3 linked regions of the Ovis aries genome follow. The protein of the gene in region 1 interacts with the protein of each later gene in a biochemical or structural test. Links are inferred from orthologs where the notes say so. Each region holds a gene or a part of one and is shown in the gene's direction. Other genes may lie near its edges.

The links.
Region 2: the proteins of TRIM72 (region 1) and UBE2H form a complex in vitro, tested with the Homo sapiens proteins (2 studies listed by BioGRID). The link is inferred for Ovis aries from reciprocal best matches to the Homo sapiens genes TRIM72 and UBE2H.
Region 3: the proteins of TRIM72 (region 1) and INSR form a complex in vitro, tested with the Homo sapiens proteins (2 studies listed by BioGRID). The link is inferred for Ovis aries from reciprocal best matches to the Homo sapiens genes TRIM72 and INSR.

What each region holds. Positions count from the first base shown.
Region 1 is NC_056077.1:27,809,986-27,814,173, forward strand, and holds the start of TRIM72 (tripartite motif-containing protein 72), read left to right. Parts: upstream 1-1,383; 5' UTR 1,384-1,558; intron 1,559-1,977; 5' UTR 1,978-1,984; coding exon 1,985-2,374; intron 2,375-4,188. UniProt on the Homo sapiens protein: Muscle-specific E3 ubiquitin-protein ligase that plays a central role in cell membrane repair by nucleating the assembly of the repair machinery at injury sites.
Region 2 is NC_056057.1:95,429,588-95,433,658, reverse strand, and holds the start of UBE2H (ubiquitin-conjugating enzyme E2 H), read left to right. Parts: upstream 1-1,264; 5' UTR 1,265-1,702; coding exon 1,703-1,755; exon of another isoform or gene 1,756-4,071. UniProt on the Homo sapiens protein: Accepts ubiquitin from the E1 complex and catalyzes its covalent attachment to other proteins. E2 ubiquitin conjugating enzyme that transfers ubiquitin to MAEA, a core component of the CTLH E3 ubiquitin-protein ligase complex.
Region 3 is NC_056058.1:13,933,460-13,937,635, reverse strand, and holds the start of INSR (insulin receptor), read left to right. Parts: upstream 1-1,369; 5' UTR 1,370-1,854; coding exon 1,855-1,954; intron 1,955-4,176. UniProt on the Homo sapiens protein: Receptor tyrosine kinase which mediates the pleiotropic actions of insulin.

The sequences.
Region 1 (4,188 bases):
GAAATAATTTCATCTTTTTTTATCTCACCTGTGGTGGGGGTGTCTGGTTACTCTCATGGGACAATTGATCTGAATCTTACAGAAACTCAGACTAACAGAGACAGAGAGTGGTCGAGGGGGAAATAAATCCAGGAAAATGCTGAGAGGTCAGAAGAGAAGGACAGAGTGAGTCCTTGTGATTTTTCATTCATTGAGTGTTCACTGAGCAACTGCTGTGTGCCCCAGACTTTGTTGGAAGTTGGAGAGGAGCAATGAACAAAATTTATGTTCTGGTAGGAGGAGACAGACAAGAAACTAACAAGTGAAATATGTTTGTGTCAGACTGTGATAAATGTTATGGAGAAAAATAAATCGAGGAAGGAAGGTGTGAGATTTAAAATCAGGGAGTTAGGAAAAGCCCCACTGAAAATGGTGACATTGGGGAAAGATCTGAGGGAGGGAGGGAAGTGGTCACACCGAAACTGTGTTTTATTTATATTTTAATGGAATATAATTGCTTTACAATATTGTGTTAGTTTCTGCTGTACAACAAAGTTTATCAGCTCTAAGTATACATACATCCCCTCTCTCTTGAGCTGCTTCCCATCCCCTCATCCTACCCCTCCAGGTCATCACAAAACATCAGACTGAGCTCCCTGTGCTATGCAGCAGCTTCCAATAACAGGGTTTTCAAGAATGTTCCAGGCAGGGGGGTTAGAAGTGCAAAGGGCAAGGCTGGAGTGAGCAGGGGGAGAGGTGAGTGATGAACAGGGTAAGAGGACTTTGGTTTTTATGCTGAATGCAATTTACACTGAGATCTGAAGGATAAGCCCCGAGGCTCCCAGAGCAGGATCGAGTTTCGACCTCTGGCCCTGGATATAGCTCATTCATTAATTCAACTGTCCCTCTGTCATTCCTTTCCTGAGCACTGAGGGAGGCCCACGTGGCCCTAGGGCTTGTGCTGAGCACTGGAAACTCCAGCTGGGGGAAGAGCGTCCCCTCAGTCCTGCAGGAAGGAAGGCTTTTGGGGTTGGAGGAGATTCTGTCCCGTGTGACTTTGTGCCTTAAGTTTGGGGAATCAGTGGGTGATAAGCTGGGGAGGGGCCACAGGCAGGCAACAGGGGAGGCTGGAAACGGTGAGGTTGGGGAGAAAGCGGAGACTCCTGCCAATCAGGTTTCTGTCTTTTCCGTGGTTTCAGAGGCCCTGTCTCTCTGCTAGCTCTGAGTTCTGGCTCCAGGCTGGGCAGGGGACAGCAGAGTGTGATGGGCCACAACAGGTGGCTTTGCCATGTGACGCTTGTCCGCTGACTGCTCAGTCCTCACTTTTAGAGCAGTTTCCAGAAGTGATGTGAGGGGATAGGCTGGGCAACCTATATATAGTCCTGGGGCCAGGGCTCAGCCTGGGAGGGTCTGTCTGCTCTTCACCGTGCGGCGCCCATCACCCGTGGTGTCCCACGACCTTGCTCTGAGCTTGGTGCTTGCTTCTCTTGAGACACAGCTCTGAGCCACCTACAGTTAGGCTTGACCTTGACTGGGCCTCTTGGGAGTCTCTTTTTAGCCAAGATCTCCAGCCAGACCTGTGAGTCCAGGGGTCCTGGTGGGGGATGGTGGCTGGGGATAAGGGGAAGGGGAGGGACAGGGGGACAGGGGCTTGCTGCGAGTCCTGGAGAGGTGAGAGAAGAGGAGAGGGCAGGGACTCTGGAGGATTTGGGATTGGGGCTGAGGCCAGGGGCCAAGTCAGGGGAAGGACACTTGGGGGTAGGACAGGGTTTGAAAGCCAGCCTCAAGTTGAGGAAGGGGGGTTGAGCCAGGTCCCTGACAGGGGCTATTTGGGTGGGGTGGGCTGGGACAGATAAACCAGTTGAGGTTGCCTTTGGGCCTGAAAGGGAGTCTCCCTTTCTCCCTTGGCCTGAGCCAGAGTCCCTTTCTGTGTGGGTTGAGAGGCCTCTGGAGGTTGGGCCCGGTCTCGCCTCCCTGACGGACCCCTCCTCCATGCAGGCCCGCCATGTCGGCCGCGCCCGGCCTCCTGCACCAGGAGCTGTCCTGCCCGCTGTGTCTGCAGCTGTTCAACGCGCCCGTAACGGCCGAGTGTGGCCACAGCTTCTGTCGCGCCTGCCTGAGCCGCGTGGCCGGGGAGCCGGCGGAGGACGGCACGGTGCTCTGCCCGAGCTGCCAGGCCCCCACGCGGCCGCAGGCGCTCAGCACCAACCTGCAGCTGGCGCGTCTGGTGGAGGGGCTGGCGCAGGTGCCGCAGGGCCACTGCGAGGAGCACCTGGACCCGCTGAGCATCTACTGCGAGCAGGACCGCGTGCTCGTGTGCGGCGTGTGCGCCTCGCTCGGCTCTCACCGCGGCCACCGCCTGCTGCCGGCCGCCGAAGCCCACGCGCGCCTCAAGGTGCGGGCCCCTCCGGCGGGGGTCGGGGTCGGATGGGATGGTTGGACCGGTCGGGGTCGGGACTATCCGACCTCAACTTCAGGGCCCGGGGCGCCTGGAGATGCCAGGGACGCGGGCGGGGCGGGGCGTCTAGGGAAGATGAGCTGAAGGCGGAGCCTGACGGAGACCAGAGCCTGGAAGAAGCGCTCGGAGACCGGCCTCGGCGAGACCAGCGCGGCCACTGGAGCGCACGCGGGGATGCGAGAGGAGCGCAGCAGCAGAGCGGAGTCTGCCTCGCTGGGGCCCTAGCGGAGGACAGGGTCGGTGCCCGCGGCCCACGCGAACAGGCTCGGCTGCTGGGCGTAGCCCTGGATAAGAGGGGCCTCGCTGTCCGGGACCGCCCCGCTCCTGCTCCCCTGGAGCTGCCAAGCTTGTAATGACCTGACAGTTACCAGATGGAGCCTCACCCAAAGGGACCTGGGAGGCCAAGGCACGCCTGCGCGGGCAACTCTGTGCACAGCCCCGAGTTGGTACCGAGACCCAAGTGCAGGCTGTTTTTGTGTTGGAGCTGGAAGTTCCGAACGCCTCCAGCCTCCACACACAGTTGTGCGCGCCCCCTAGGGTTTGCCATCTCTGCGGATGCCCAGACACTGGCAAATGGAGACGCAGGCACACGCTGGCTCGCCTGGCGTACGTGTGGCAGATCACACGCGTGTAGAGCTACAGGAGTGTATGTGTATACACGGGCCCAGGGAGATATGTCATGAAGCCATTTATAGGGTTGTTGGAAGAATAAACGACAGGTGCAGGGCTTGGTGGAGGCGGGGTCCGGAGGCTTGGAGCAGTCCACCGTCTCTGCGATGGAGAAGCTGCCACTCTCTTCAGGCAGCTGTTGAGAGTCGGGGGCGGGTAATCTTTGCCCATAAATTCAGCGTTGCAAGACACTTCTCCTTGGTCTCCAGAGTTCTAGATGGGGTAGACCCCGCCCTTAGGCCCCCCAAATCCTCCAGGGGCCCAGCCTCACCATCCCTCCCCCTCCAGCCTTGCCAGTCCCTTGGGGTGCTGGCTTGTAGTCCCCTAGCCCACTGCAGGAGGCTCCTCCTCCCAGGAGCCCACCCAACCCAGGCTCCCCTCTGCTGGTGACCCCAGAATGCCTATCCTCAACCATCTTTATCTGCAAAAAGAGAAGAGAGTCCATGAAGTGGAACGGGGCACCAGGGAGCCCAGAAGGCTCAAAGGGGCAGGCGGGTTAGGATACAGTCTTTCAGAGTCTGCATCAGTCCACTCTAAGCCCCAGGGAGGAGGTAGCTGGAGGTCTGAAGTAGAGATTCCTGGAAGGAGGGGGAAAAGTGAAAGTGTGTCTGACTCTTTGTGACCCCATAGACAGTAGCCTGCCAGCCTCCTCTGTCCATGGAATTCTCCAGGCAAGAATACTGGAGCGGGTTGCCATTTCCTTCTCCAGGGAATCTTCTCAACCTAGGGATCGAACCCACGACTTCCACGTTGCAGGCAGATTCTTTATCATCTGAGCCACATGATGGACAAGAAACCTGGGGTAAAGCAGAACACCTGGGTCCTTGGGGAGGAAGATGGGTTGGTCCAGAGAATACGTGCCAAGACTCAAGAGTGATTGGATGGGATCTGCTGGGCATCAGGGGACTCACAACCCCCAAAGTCATGTGGCCTCCTCCTGCTTGCCTCGGAGTAGAAGGACACCAGCCTGTTGGTGAGACCCATCATGCACTGTGTCAAGCACTGCTCCCCACACCTCCTCACCATGGGATGTTCCAAGAGCCTTCTCTGTTCAGCCCCTAGCCTCTACGGTGCCATCGTGC
Region 2 (4,071 bases), on another chromosome or scaffold:
ACACACACATGCAACAATAACGGGTCTTTTGGGGGATGACATGATAGGCGCAAACAACATTCAATTTTAGGTGATTACTGCTGCTCCAGGTTCATGTGTGTGTGTGTGTGTGTGTTTCTGTGTATGTGCATACATAGGAGGTTACATAAGGGGACCCAACTCACAGCACGTGGTTTGACAGACTACAAGTGTATTCATGGGGACAAAGGAATAGATAAAAATTTTGAAAATAGATGGCAGTGAAAAAAAATGTGATATAAATACAGGAGCTGCCTGGAACACTCCTTCCTGCCCTCTTTGCCTGGTTGACTCCTGGATTCCACATCACTTCTTTTGGAGTGCCTTGTAGAGCAGTGTCTCTCAAACTTTAGTGCACAAAGGAATCACCGGGGGACCTTGTTAAACTGCAAATTCTAATTCAGTAGGTCTGAGGTGAAGCTCTAGCCTGCATTTCTAACAAGTTCCCAGGTGATGCTGACAGTCTAGATCTAGACCACATTGGGAGGGCTGTGTAAATTTAAAGTCTTTCTTAGTTCACCATGATATCCTCATGTCCAGCAGTGATTACCACACAATGGGTGATCAATAAATGCTTACTGAATGAATGATGAAGTTATAGGCCTGCTCTAGACGTTTGGAAGGCAGAACAAACTTTGTCCTAAACAGCAGCATATTTGGGGTACTTCTGCTTCTTTCAGTCATTCACTTTGTGAAATCACCACATAACTGTGTAAAGATGTTACAACTAAATTGCCATCATGCTGTCTCAATTCTAATCCTTGAAAAAATGACCCTATACATATGAAGGATAGCAAACCCTGATTTGCAAGCTTGAAGAAGCCTGGCTATTCTCTCCTTTCAAGGTGGGAGCAGAGGGCAGGGGACCTGCTGGTTTAGGAATTTCTAGATTTTGGTAACTGTCTGGGTTAATTTCCACCTTGGCTTCCTTAAATCAAATAAACAGACTTTTAAACAGTGTATGTGGGAAGGAGGTTCATTACCCTAAAACACATGAATATGATGATACTGCCATTATTTAATCATTATCGTTTTTGATGATGACAACGACGCTGACAGTTGAGCGATTAAGTGTGAGGGAGTTGGGGGAGGGGGGGCAGAAAGCTGGACGGGCAGGAAAAAGAGGAACTACAACTCCCAGAATCCCCTGCTAAACTCACGCCGCCGCCGCGGCACCCCACCCCTTTCGCCAGCTGGGCCCGCCCCTCCAATGACGTCACAGAGGTGACGTCACGGCGCCCAGAGCGAGGCTGGGGTAGAGAGGCCGATTGAGCAGGAGTCGTCCGCTTGTCGTGGAGGCAGCTTGGGAGCCGGCGAGAGGGTGAGCGGGCGAGCAGGCGAGAGAGCTAGAGCAGGCAGGAGGGAGCGACGCGCGGCGCAGAGGAGCGCCAGGTCCGGGCCGCGGCGGAACCCACAGCCGGAGAGGGGCAGCCCGAGCCGTGCGCCGCGGGGTCCCCACCCCCACTCGGCCGGACAGTGCCCGGTGTTCCCCCCCGTGCGGGGGGCGGCGGCGGCGGCGGCGGCTGACGGGACCAAACAGGACCGCGGGGGTGTTGCCACCTCCATCGAGGAGCCGGCGCGGCCGCGGGCTCCTCAGAGCCGGGGCCCGGGGCCCGTGACAGGCGGGCTGAGGAAGGGCGAGAGGCGGCGGCGGCGCAGGCGACGGGGAGGCAGCGGCGACACCATGTCATCCCCTAGTCCGGGCAAGAGGCGGATGGACACGGACGTGGTCAAGCTGTATCCTTCGTGGAGCGGGGCGGGGGGTGGGGAATTCGGGTTCTACGTGGGGGACGATATGGGGATGCCCGGGGCACCCCCTGAAACCTAATCAGGGGCCCAGGGGCACTCCAGCCCACTGTCCAAGGCTTCCTCCCACCCCTCCCTCCTCCCAGTGCCTACGGAGGCTCTTTGGCACCTCCCAGGAGCCGAGATCCTTCTCAGCTCCCCCTTTATCTGCAGCACCCCGAAATGTGCGTTGTTCACGCTCTTTCCGCACCTTCAGCCCCCGTGACTTTTCTCCACGACATTTGGACTCCCAAATGGGCCTTTTTTTTTTTTTTTTTTGCAGTACCAGCCCTCTCTCTTCACCACCAAGCCCACCTTCTTTTTCCTGTTTGCTCGCTCTGAATTTGGGGATTCGAGATAGAAATTCCCTAGAGCGAAGCCTTTCTCCTTTTCTTGAGATGCCTCCATTCCCTCCTCTCACAGTGCTTCTTGAACTGGGGTAACTCAAGTGACCTCCTTTATCCCTAATTCCTTTCTATATTAGGAAGAGAGTAGTCTGCTCAGTGCCCCCCTCTTGTATTAAAGAGCTCTGAATATTTTAGATCAGCTACCCCTATTAAGCTTTCTGGTCCTTAGAAGAACCTCACTCTTTTCTTCCTACCGACAAAGCCTATCCCACCCATAGTATGTGGTGAGGACCCCCAGGCCCTCCAGCAAGCCACCCTCCATATTGTGGCTATGACAGCTGAGGGGGAAGGAGAAAAAGGGGATCTCCTTGACCAAATAGCCCCTGCACTAGCCAGTTAAGCAAACTCCCTGTATGAGAATAAGGTGCTCATAATAACTGCCCTGTTCTTGCCAAGTGACACCCTTTATTTTCCTACTCCCCCCACCCCAACTTTATGTACTTTGGAGGTAGCAGTGGGAAAGCTCTAACTGATAAGAGTCCTTCAGGCAGTGGTTTTGGTTGGAGTCCAGACCGATTATTTCATGACCAGCTAGAGAAATTCGCGAAGGTTCCTGTGACAAATCGAGACATTTTTTGAGGGGTAATTTAGAGAGAGATGAGAGAGAGGAGCCCAGGGTTCTGAAAGACTGAATCCCTGGGGAGAGGGGGAACCCGGGGCTGGAGAGTGGTAGTGTGTGAAACGCAGTTTAAAAAGTCCTGTCTCCTGCTTCTGTTTCTCCTTCACCCCCATCCCCCCACCATTTCCCCCTGTTGCTGGGTTTTGTTTATATAACTCAAGTTGTTTGGCTAGATTCTTCAGGTGAATTCCTTCTTTCTTCCTTTTATTGTTACTGTTTTTGATTGGATGTTTTACCAGTTTGTAGAGATCAATGGTTATTGTTGAACACTCACTTAAAGAATTCGCTGAAGTTTTAAAAAAGTAGTTTTTTTCATTTGGTTTAGAAGTGGGGGATGGAAGGGAAGTTGCCTGGGCAAGTGATTCTTCTCTGCCCCCCCCCACCCCATAATCTTTTCAGGAATAAGATGTTTTTCTCTTCACTCAGGAAAACTTGATTAGAAATTAGGAACAGTACATGAACGTCTCAGTTTAGGGTTAGAAGTTTAGAATTTGGGGGAGGTGGGAGTGGGAATTAGAGGAGCAAGTAATAAAGTATATATTATGTACCAAATATATGTTTAGGCACAAGTGAAATTGACTCTTTATGAGCTGTTTGTGGCTGTGATTGAGTTTTGTAAATGTGTGAATAATACCAGTAATGTTGGCTTTTCATAAGGTGGCAGGAAAACTTGTAACTATGGCTGTGTGTACATTTTACACAAAGCAGTTTCGGGTTTTATTTTTGTTTAGAAACTAGGAAATGACATGGTGGCAGAATCTTGAGTTATTTTTATCTTGAATTGAGACTTACTGTCACACCTAATGCAAATTTCTACCTAATGTTTAATTGGGATGGGGGTGAGAGAGAATTCCAGCTGTCTTTGATCAATGTCAGATTCTCAAATTATATACTTACATATATTTTTTTAGAAGGCTGAGGATAAAGAGGGTGAGGCCTTACTTGACCTGATGCCTTTTCCATACAGTGCCTTTTGTTCATTTAGTAGTTGTGGCATCTAGAATGATCACCGTATTTAGGAGTGGGGTGTGGGGGGTGGAGAGGGGGAAGAAAACAGACAAAGAACAGCAGGGTGTCTTTCTTTTTTTTTCTTCCCCTAAGTGGCTTATTTCATAGCTTATTTTTAGTAGAAGATGAAGAAAGGCAAAGATGCATTGGCCTTCTGTTCTTTCCCCACCTTCCTCCTTTCTGACAAAAGAAAGCAGAGGCGCTTTAAAATTGTACATGTCTGAGATAGGAGGA
Region 3 (4,176 bases), on another chromosome or scaffold:
GTGTATGCACACGAGCTCAGTCATGTCGAACTCTTTGCGACTCCATGGACTGTAGCCTGCCTCTACCCATGGGATTTTCCAGGCAAGAATACTGGAGTGGGCTACCATTTCCTCCTCCAGGGGATCTTCCTGACCCAGGAATCTAACCTGCGTCTCCTGCATTGGTGGGCAAATTCTTTACCACTGAGCAACCTGGGAAGCCCTTGCTGCTGCTGCTGCTACTGCTGCTAAGTCGCTTCAGTCGTGTCTGACTCTGTGCGACCCCATAGTCGGCAGCCCACCAGGCTCCCCTGTCCCTGGGACTCTCCAGGCAAGAACACTGGAGTGGGTTGCCATTTCCTTCTCCAATCCATGAAGGTGAAAAGTGAAAGTGAAGTCGCTCAGTCCTGTCCGAGTCTTAGGGACCCCATGGACTGCAGCCTACCAGGCTCCTCCCTCCATGGGGTTTTCCAGGCAAGAGTACTGGAGTGGGGTGCCATCGCCTTCTCCGGGAAGCCCTTACAACTCACCAAATCTGACCTGAAGGTGTCCTTACGTGCATCATACAGATGAGGCCCATCGAGAGAGAGAAAAATTACTCATTCAAGCAGATTCTCACTCCGTTCTGGCTTCTCTGTGCTTAAGGCCCCTCTTCAGCAGGCGGGGTGGCCACTGTCACGTGACTGACGTTCAAACACACACGGACTCTGGGTCTGCGCATTGAAACTTGGGTGTGTCCACCTGTGTTCTACCGAAGATCTCCAGCGCCTGGTTTGCACTTTTTTTTTTTTTTGCTAGTTTCTACACTTTCTCCTAAGGGTCATTTCTCCACCTTGAACCACGCATCGTGCGGAGGGGCCAGGCTACCCAATACTTGAGCGCACGCGGCACGCTCGTGCACGTGGCTGTCCCCAGGGGCCTGGCTCTGGGCGGGGGCGCACTCTGGGGTAGGACATCCGGGGCGCTCGAGGGCCATACTCACTGGCCAGACTGTGACGAGGGGAAGGTGAACGCAACATTTAAGGGAGTACCAAAAAGCCGAGTAACCACGATAAACAATATTTTAATGCAATATTTAAAAAAATAAAAATGAATTTTCTAAAGTCCCACGAAGAACAAACTAGCAAAATGTTTTAAACACGCGATCCGACTTGCTGAGTTGGTCAATCTGGGGCGCTCCCGGGCTCTGAGACAGGAGTCCTGGGGCTGTACGGGGCGCTGGGGCTGGGCAGGCATCTAGGGCGCCCCCTCGGCTACGGCGCGACGGGGGCCTCCAGCGCGGGGCCCAGGATAGGGAGACCGGCGGGCGGGCGGGGCGGCGCCTCCCCCCTGCCCGTCCTCCTTCCACCCCTCTCGGGCCTCTGCCGGGCGCCGAGTCCCTTCCGAGCCCAGATCCGCGCCGCCTTTTCCCGCGGCCCGAACGGGGCCCAGCTGACGGGCCGCGTTGTTTACGGGCCGAGCAGCCCTGGCTCCCGCCGCCTGCCCGCCACCCGCCAGCCCAGGTGCCCGCCCGCCTGTCCGCACGTCCGTTTGTCCGCGCGTCCGAAGATCGGAGCTCCGGAGCGCTCGGGGCCAAGAGCCTAGAGTCAGGGGGGCGCAGCGCGGGGCTCCGGGCCCTGAGATCGTCGGGACGGGGGCGCGGGCCGCGGGGGCCCGGAGTCGGGACCGTCTCCACCCGGCCGCGCTGCCGGATTCGTAGCAGCGGAGGCCGCGCGCCCCTCCCGGGGCCGTATCTAGAGTCCTCCCGGGCGCAGGCTGCGGGACCTTGGGCTGCCCGCGTGGAAGAGAAGGACGCGCGACCCCCAGCGCCTCTGGGGCGGCCGCCTCGGAGCATGCACCCCGCCAGCCAGCGCCCCGCGCTCTGATCCTTCAGCCATGGGCGCCGGGGGCGGGAGCGGGGCGGCAGCCGTGCTGCTGCTGGTGGTCGTCGCCGCGCTGCTGGTGGGCGCCGCGGGCCACCTGTACCCTGGAGAAGGTGAGTCTGGGGGGTCCCGGAGCGGGCGGGAAGCCGCGCGGGTGGGGAGGGGACCCTTTGCCAAAATGGAACCACCCCCCGTTGTGGACGGAGTGCCGTCCTCCGTCGGAGGGCTGGTGGCTCGGACGGTTTCTCCGGCCTCGCGGGGGGCGGGAAGCCGCTGACCTTGGCCTTTGCCCGCCTGGGCTAGCGGTTCCACGACCCGCATGCGGCCCGGGGCTGGAGGAACCTTGCCCTAGTGCCCGCCCCTCCGCGGGCGCCTCTCCCGAGAGCGCTCCTCGAACCCCCGTGTCTGGGCCTCTCTGAGCCCACCACCTGGCTCCAGAGACGGGACACACGTCCTCTCTGGGTCGCCTCCGAGAAGTAGGGTCATCGGACACTCTCACACAGCCAAATGCCCCGGGCACAGACGGTTTGGAGTGAGAATCGAGGGTGACTGACTGAAGGCAGGGTGGTCCCTTGAGATCCCAGCAGCTTGGTGACGCTCCCCCAGGGGCCGAGGAAGTGTAGAACCCGCCCCTTTCTTTCTGGTATCTAGACCCACGGCTACCCCTGACTTCAGGTCCATGTTTATACTCTGGAATTCTGTTTCCAGATGTCGGAGGCAAGCTCTAGCCCTTGGCAACAGCGCAGCTGTAGTAGCAGTAGTGTTGGCTTTTATGATTATTATAGCTGGTGTCACCAGATGCCTCGGGCTGGCCGGTCTTATCTGTCTGGATCTCTGCAGCAGCCCGTGGAGGCTGATACTGTTGTTGGTCCATTTCATAGAGGAGTAAACTGAGGCTCAGGAAGGACACAGAATTCACTTGCCCCAGAATCAGAGCTAGAGAGAAGACAAACCTCTCTGGCTCTGCCCAGGGCTCTGCCCAGCTGCCCACGCCCCAGGAACCCCTGGTAACCTCCCTCCTCTACCTTTTTACCTGTCAGCTGGGCAGGTCTCTAATCTGTGGTCAGCCCAGCACCTTGCCCCCTCTCCCTTCCAATTCTCCCTCATGAGTGTCCCTGGGCTAGCAGCTCCCTGGTATGGGGAGAGGGGTAAGTCCCAGCATTTTCCTTGGGCTTGACAGCACGTCTTTCTGGCTGCAGGTCAAGGATGGAAAATCCTTGAAGAGAATATAACTGGGGTTTCCCACCATGATGGCGGAGGCCCTGCTTTCAAAATATGTGTTGGGTTACTTCTTCAGATTTCTCCATAAAAGGAAATCAGTCCCGATGAGGAAGGGGTCAGGCAGGGAAGGAACAGAAGTTCCTGAGTTGCCTGTCGGTGAGTGGGGATGCACGAGAAAGCACGTGGGGGCTCTGGAGTTGACAAACCGGGTTTGTGGAGCACCTTTGCCAATTAGGCAACGTCTCCAAGCACCCAAGTGCCTGGTATACAGTGAGTGCTCCTCCAAGGAAGGGTAGCAGTGGATTTAGGCTCTTGTTAGAAAAAAAACACACACACACACACACACAAAAACCCAGACCAGCTGTTAGATCTGTGTCCGGCTTTGTGTGTCCATGCCCGTGTGTGTCTGTGTGTGGGTGCACATCTGTATATGCATGCAGTTCCTTGCTCCTCTGTTCCTGGTAGCTTTAGGAATTAATGGTGGATTTGTGCCTGGGCTGGCTTTCCTGGTGGCTCAGATGGTAAAGAATCTGCCTGTAGGAGCCTGGGTTTGATCCCTGGATCGGGAAGATCCCCTGGAGAGGGGAATGGCTATCCACTCCAGTATTCTTGCCCAGAGAATCTCATGGACAGAGGAGCCTGGTGGGCTACATACAGTCCATGGGGTCCCAAAGAGTCCGATACGACTGATCGACTTTCACTTTCAGGGGTCAGTGGATGGATTTGCCACTTCTTGCATGTTTATAGCTTCCACGAGGGAGAGGCTTATGTTTCTCTGTTCACTGCCACAGTTCCAGAGTCTAGAGCAGCCCCTGACACCTAGGAGATGCTTGATACATTTATTTATTTTGACCGTGCTGGGTCTTCATTGCTGTGCTGGGCTTTTCTCTAGGTGTGAGGATCGAGGCTACTCTGTAGTTGCTGTGCATGGGATGGGCTTCTCATTCCAGCGGCTTCTCTTGTTGTGGAGACCGGGCTCCAGGGCACGCGGCTTCAGTAGTTGTGGCTCGTGTGCTCAATAGTTGTGGCTCCCTGGCCCCAGAGTGCAGGCTCAGCAGCTGTGGCACTCGGGCTTAGCTGCTCTGCAGCACATGTGGTCTTCCCATACCAGAGG